Linked DNA regions of Rattus norvegicus. The protein of the gene in region 1 purifies or fractionates together with the protein of each later gene. This does not show direct contact. Links are inferred from orthologs where the notes say so. Each region holds a gene or a part of one and is shown on either strand. Other genes may lie near its edges.

Evidence for each region. Proteins that work in one complex are often made in the same cells at the same time.
Region 2: the proteins of Gtse1 (region 1) and Acad11 purify together in Homo sapiens (co-immunoprecipitation; 3 studies listed by BioGRID and IntAct, counting the BioPlex papers as one, with this or other methods). This does not show direct contact. The link is inferred for Rattus norvegicus from reciprocal best matches to the Homo sapiens genes GTSE1 and ACAD11.

The regions. Positions count from the first base shown.
Region 1 is NC_086025.1:118,836,632-118,840,203, forward strand, and holds part of Gtse1 (G2 and S phase-expressed protein 1), read left to right. Parts: intron 1-567; coding exon 568-942; intron 943-3,572. UniProt on the Homo sapiens protein: May be involved in p53-induced cell cycle arrest in G2/M phase by interfering with microtubule rearrangements that are required to enter mitosis. Overexpression delays G2/M phase progression.
Region 2 is NC_086026.1:113,580,677-113,584,248, reverse strand, and holds part of Acad11 (acyl-CoA dehydrogenase family member 11), read right to left. Parts: intron 3,387-3,572; coding exon 3,260-3,386; intron 1-3,259. UniProt on the Homo sapiens protein: Acyl-CoA dehydrogenase, that exhibits maximal activity towards saturated C22-CoA.

The DNA of each region.
Region 1 (3,572 bases):
GCCCTTCTGTGGCCCATGAGTACATGATCAGGAGAATGCATGGCTGCCACTGTGCAGGAGCTGTGAGGTGGGTCTTTCTCTACTGACTCAGGACACTGGCACCGTGTGTTGTTTATGGTAGAGTCATAGAGTCAGATGAGATAGTGGGGTAGGACGTAGTAGGGCTAACATACCATATAGACATGGCTACAACGGTAACTATTCCCTTAAGTTTCCCCTTGAGTCTTCACTGTGGACTCACACAGTAGGTCCATTGCTTGTCGACTACACTGTCCACTTTCTTCTGCTCATCAAGGAAGCGAAGAAAGAAGAGCTTAGCCTTGTGAGTGCACACACAGGCTGAGAGTTAGACGGTACTCAGCTCAGGTTCACACATCCTGCTGGTCCTCACGGTCATCGCCTAATGGGCATCCAGTATGTCTGATGTTAGCTAGATATTCTAGAGGTGTCATTGTGTGTGTGTGTGTGTGTGTGTGTGTGTGTGTGTGTGTGTGTGTGCGTGCGTGTATGTTTTAAACTGTTTGGAAACTGGCTTGAGTAACCAGCCTTGATTATCAACTTTTGCAGCAAAGTCCAGTGAACTTTCAAGTATTCCCGCTAGCAGCTCCCGGCGTCAGTCAGTCACCAGCAAGTTGGGCAGAGTAGGACTTGCCACGTCACACCAGGCTTTGCCAGCAGCCCCTGCCAGAGCATTTTGCAGACAAGCCAAAAAGGCTGATGCTGCCCAGACAGTGGCAGAGCAGCCCAAGGCCCTCACCCCAAGTCCTCTTGCTCAACAACCCCAGACTCCAAAACACAAAGGACCCAGAGTGGACCTGGACACCGAGACATGTCAGTTGAATAAAACTGTCAGCATAAAACGACAGGACTCCTCTCTAGGCTGCAAGACAGAGGCCGTATCTACCACAACAAACCCATTTAAAGTGCCCCAGTTTTCTGTTGGTAAGTACAGCTACATTGGTCGGTTTTAAGATTTTGGGGAGGCTACTGGTGCGGCTGGTGCTGTTGGCTTCTTTAACTCTGACTCTGTCCAGGGTGTGTTCTGCCACCCTCTTGTGTCCATTTCTCTGGATAAGCCCGCCCCTGGCCTGCGTCTCTCTCACTCTTGTCATCAGTGTGGTTGTCCACAGGTGTGGTGGCTTTTGTCCCACCTGGGTGGTGAGAGCTTCATTGTTCTGTTGCTGTTGCTGTTCTGCTTCTGTGGTTCTGTTTTTAACCCCCTGGACTATGTTTCCCTTAAGGGGCTGAGCTTGGCAACCAGTGAATGTAGCCCAGTCTGCTCCGCTGTCACGGATGGGTCTGGAATGGGCGCTGTTTGGCCTGTTGCAGTGTGGGGTTTTGCACAGGCACTGCTAAGTGTCCTGTTGTTTGCTCGGCCCACTCAGGCTGGGGGCTGTGCTGTTCCTTGTTCTCCGTTAGTTGCTTGTCTCGACCTTGAGGCATCTTGCCTGCACAGTGCTGCCGCTGTGCAGCGCCCTTTCAGGAGATGCTACAGAGTTTTCTAGAGTCATTTTCTCTGTGTTGCTTCTCTCCAGCTCTCTGGCTCTCAGATTCTATACCTCAGTCCCTCAGATGCTAGCCATTGTCCTCTCAGCCAGTAAGACTGTCCTGCTCTGGTTTATCAAAACCAGCATGTTCTGCATAATGAGTTCCTGGCCACCCAGGACCACACAGTGAGACAGTGTTAAAAACAAAACCAAGTATTTCTCGTTTTTTCCTATTTAAAGCTTGGCTCAGGCTGGAGAGATGGCTCAGTGGTTAAGAGCACTGACTGCTCTTCCAGAGGTCCTGAGTTCAATTCCCAGCAACCACATGGGGGCTCACAACCATCTGTAATGGCATCTGATGCCCTCTTCTGGTGTGTCTGAAGACAGCTACAGTGTACTCATACATAAAATAAATTAATAAAAAATAAACAGAAAGCTCTTCACTGAAAATATTTGTTAGAAGAGTTTTAATACCTGTGGGTGTGTGTATGTACTGTGACACACCTGGAGTTCAGAGTATATCTTTTCAGAATTGGTTTTGTCTTTCCACAGTGTGGATAAATATAACATCTTTAACCCAGCACTCAGGAGCCGGAGGCAGGCATATTTAAATTCAAGGCCAGCCTAGTCCAGAAAACAAAGATGAGCCAAGACAGCACAGTAGACCCTGTCTCCAAAGTAAATAAATAAGTAAATAAATGAATAAATAAATAAATAGAACAGAGCCAGCAACAAAAGAAAGACATTGAAAAGGGTTGTCACCGGTCGGTGGGCAGAGGCAGGGGCCTTCTCTGAATGTGATCCCAGTTTGTTTCTTTCAGTCTCCAGAGAGCATAAGAAGCCCCTGAACACACAGCAGTAGTAAGGTTTGATGAGTGGTCAATGCTGAAGTCTTTCTCCTTGGCCTCTGGCCTCTGCCTTTGACTGCAGCAGGCTTCCTGGCTCCCAGCTCTGCCTGTGGTGGTGCTCAGGTGGGCACCCCAGAACCTGTAAGCAGAGAGGAGACTCAGGCACACCATGGCAGCTGCTCTGCTGGCTCTGGTTGGCCAGGGCCCTCTACTCACTGAGGGAAGCAGAGAAAGGTGCATCTCTGGAGTTCAAGGCCAGCTTGATCTACACAGGGAGTTCCAGGATACCTAGAGCTGCACAGTGAGATACTAGTTCAAAAAACAACTACACAACAACAAAGCAACAGTAGGAGGAGGATGGAGAAGAAGGAAAGGGAAACACATCAGACACAGTGGCTTCTGCCTATGATCCCAGTACAGGGGAGACTGGGGCAGGAGATCACAAGTTCTAGGCTAACCTGGGCTACAGAGTGAGACCATGTCCCCAAATAAAACAAAACCCAAGATTTTGGTCTTATCTGAATATCTTTCTTATGCTGTCATGTTTAAAGACAAAGGATCCTATGGTAAGACATCTTACAAAGAATATTTAAGATCTATTTTTTTGTGTGTGATTGTTTTGCCTGAATGTATATGTATACACCTTATGTATGCCATGCCCAGTATAGAAGACAGAACTGGGCTTTAGGTCCCCAGGAACTAGAATTACAGACATGTGAGTTGCCTCGTGGATTAGGGGGTGTGGCCTTGTTGAAGGAGGTGTGTCTCTGGAGGGTGAGCTTTGAAGTTTCAAAAGCCCACTCCGTTTGCAGGTAACTGCCTCATGCTTGTGGTTCAGACGTAAGCTCCCAGCTACTGTCCAGTATCATGCTCGCCTTCTTGCTGCAATGCTTCCTGCCGTGATGGTCATGGACTCTGAAACTGTGGGCCCCAGTTAAATGCTTTCCTCTGTAAGGTACCTGGGTTCTGGTGCCTTACAGCAGTAGAATATTGAAGACAGTTGGAGACGAGATTAGACAGTATTCTAGTTTGCTTTCTGTCACTCCGATAAACACCCAGGACCAAGGCACCTTGAGTTTATTTGGCTTACACTTCCACATCATAGCTCAGCACTGAGGGAAGTCAGAGCAGAGATTCAAGCAAAGACTACAGAGGAATGCTGCCTACCTGCCCAAGGCTGGTACCATTACAGCAGGCTGGACCCTTGCATCAGTTAGCAACTGAGAAAATGTCAGTC
Region 2 (3,572 bases), on another chromosome or scaffold:
ATCAACTACTTTCTCCACACTTCAGCTAAGAGAATTATGGGGGTAAAGGTCATGGGTACTGTCAAAACTTTCTGTGTGTTTCATCAAGTTAGTGTAGATTACTCTTCCAAACGACACCGTCCTCAGCAGTGGACTGCCGTGTTCCTCTTGGGGAAGCAAGGCTCATCTGGAGTCCCAGCACTGTACAGGGCAGAGGCCCCTGCATTTTCAAAGACTTCAGGATAGAGAGTGCTTGTCACATCTGTCAGGAAGCCAGTCAGGATTGGAAGCCTTTCTGTTTGGAGTTGCATATTATGCCTGTTCCTAGGGTGGCTATAAAAAGTCAGTGCTGTTGTGCTTGGTAATAAATATATTATGAAAGATGTTTATGATGTCTTCATTCTGACTATCTCTTTATGATCCTACAGTTCTGAGAAATCAAATTATACCTGTGTTTACATGCCCCAGGAGGGTGGGTTCACCTTAAGCCATGCTAAAGAGATAGGAGGAATAATTAATTACTCCTTTAATAAACTACTATATCTTTCTTTCCTAGAATTAACTGCCCCTAGCCCAGATCGCTATGAGCTGAGCCACTTTGGGGTTTAGCTTGGTCCGCCCATCTTTCTGACTCAACTTTCCCGGATGTTGGCCTGAACCTAAGCACACCTTTCCTGGCACATCATGTTTCCTCACTCTTCTCTGTCTGTAGCCTCCTTCCCTGCCAAGTGGCTGTCTGGTGTCATGTGGTGACTTTAATTATGCCGTAAGCAGCACGGCATGGCTTCTCTTCTCTCTGAGCAGAGGGAGGTTCCGAACGTGACTGCCGTGGGTGCTTTTCTTTCTAAGTCTAATAAAATCGCCTGCAACTTCCATTTGAAGCCATTTTTTAAAGTCTTTTAATAATGAGACCATGAACTCCACAAGGGTCCCTGCATTTACCCAGATCATCTGGTGACCATGAAGAGACTCTCTTGACTTCTGATAACATTATCACATTGACCTGTGTGCCCCTACACTGTGCTGCTTGTTCTGTCCCACACTGCAGTGCTAGTGTTCCTCACTGGTTCTCAAAAGGAAGAACTGACGTAATACAGTTTCAGAGGTGGGTTTTGTGTTCATTTTAGGCTACCTGAGGAGTTTCAAAAGGTCACAGAAATAGTCCTGCCAACCTTATTTTTTCTCGTTATGGAAAATACATAAAAATATAAACAAAGAGCCACCAAGAACGTTAGTAGCTAAAGATGCACGATGTTGAGTCCTGCTGTAATATACGACACAATATTATCTTCTAGACATGCCAATGTTGGTTTGGCACCTCGGTTGCAATAACATTGAAAAGAATTTACTGTTTTCTCTCTTTTATTTTGCGAAAAGCTATTTACTTCTCTGCAAATCATTTCAGATTATGCCCCGCAGCTGGGGATTAGCTGTTCCGATCATCTTCAGGATAAAACTACACAGGTCGTTACAAGTTTCTGAGTGATGACATGTTGCTGCTATCAGATGTGGGAACACAGATTTAAAAGCTCTGCCAACACAGAGTGGCTTTGCTTACCACACAAGCTTGGCCAACCTTCGCCTTCTACAGTCTGTCCGGGGTTTGTGTTTTTACTTTTACTGTGAGTTCTTCGCACATATTTTAACAGCTGAGTAGCACTGGGTTCACAGGCACCACAACCTCACTCCGACCCCTCCCATCCCTGCTTCGGTGTCAGCCACAGGAACAGCACATGAGAGAGAAAACAAATCCCTTTCTTCCCTCTGCTAATCTAGGCTTGTCTGGGCTGGCTGCAGGCGCAGGCATGTGGCAGACGGGCTTAGATTCAGTATAAGTACATGAGAATTAGATGAACTGATAGGCAAGCTGGCTCTCCATCTGAAACTCCACAGAGCGAGCGGACACAGAGCTGAACAATGCAAGGCGCTGCTCACTCATGGTCATGGGCCCTGGCTTCCAGCCCAAGAAGCTGGATAACTCTTCCAGCACCTTGACTTCTCTCTGCCCCTTGCTCTCTGTGTCACCCAATCACCTACTTCTCCATTGTGGGAAAAGCCCACTTTCCTCTCAAAATTCCTTCAAGACGAAACATCCTCTATGATGGTCTGTTTGTTCTTCGGACGACCCACTCTGTCTTTCAAATCTACTTTGCATTAGCTTTTCTGGTGGGCCCCTTGTCTGCTCTAATTTATTCCATTGTCTTAAAACTTCAATTGAATTTTATTTTAGGAAGGGTAATTTGGTGAATTTAGATTACTATATTGAATTAAAAGTGCTGTTCTCCCCTTTTGATATTCAAAAGTTTAATTTTGAATTCAAAATTGGACACACACTAGCTAGGGCAGAGCTAATTAGTGCCAATGGAGAGGTGACAATTTTAGAAGTAATACTTGAGTGTTTTTGAAGAAACTGTATCCCACTCTATGATAAATGTTCATATCAAGATATCTGCTAATATGACAGCTAGTCCTACAGTTCAACAGCACTAATGTCCTTATAAATGCATCTTACTTCTGACATCGTTGAGAGACTCTTGATCTTTTGAGTTCATTTGACTCCAGTCCAGCTCGAGACCCTCAGAATTGCAGGTAGCTACCATGAGGTTTACTGTAGGCGGACCAGACTTACTCATGTTGCAGAAGGAAGGACTGAGGCCACACAAGGCCACCAACCTCTACCAGGCATGGATCGGAACCAAGCCTTTACAACTGCCTCACATACACACCCTGTCAAAACTCCTCCTCTTCTTCCCAGCACTTAGTGCCTCTTCCTCACCTGTCTTTCCACAGGGGCGTAAACCCTGTCTGTCTTGTTCTAATTTTCAGCTGCTCTTCTGGTGCCCAGTACATAATTCTTTACTGGATGAATGTTTCCTCAGTCCAATCCATGAACTTCTTCAGTGTAACCCCTTATAATGACAGCTTGTGAGGGAAAGGAAGGCTAGTATTTATGTGGCTTTAAATGATAGGCCAGAGTTCAGGCCACGTCTATTTGGGGGAGACTGTGGTTCTCAAATTCTCAAAGCATCCACATTTAGAGTAACAAAAGCTGAAGATCACCGCCTTATCGAAAGGCAGCTGGGTGTAATGTTTCACTCCAGTCCATCCAGGCCTCACTGCTTGGTCCCTTTGCCTTGATTTGCAACCATAGACGTATGTGCGTATCCTGCAGGAGATTTTAGCTCTAAATGTCTGAACTGAGGGAAGTGGAAGAATGGGGGATGGTGGGGGAGGGGCGCTGCCTGTCAGGAAAGAACTACCGGGTCCTTGAGCACAGTACCTTTTCAGCAGGAAAGACATGCTGCTTCATGAACTGCTTCACCCTAGTGAGAACTTCCTGGCCTCTCCTGCTCTGTGCAAACAGCCGGCTTTTTGCGTCAGCCTGTGGTGGTACAGTACTGAGAGTTCTGGGCAAAAGAAAAGAAAGGTTACAAAGGTGTCCGAAGTCGTCATTATACATTTCTTAAAATCTCCCCAGCTATCCAAAGATATCCGTAGGAGGAGCGGCCACATCTGGGAGGCTTCGGCTCATTATTCAGTTAGCCACCAGCAGCTCCAGGGAGCAAACCCAGAGCCTTGCACAGACCAGGCAA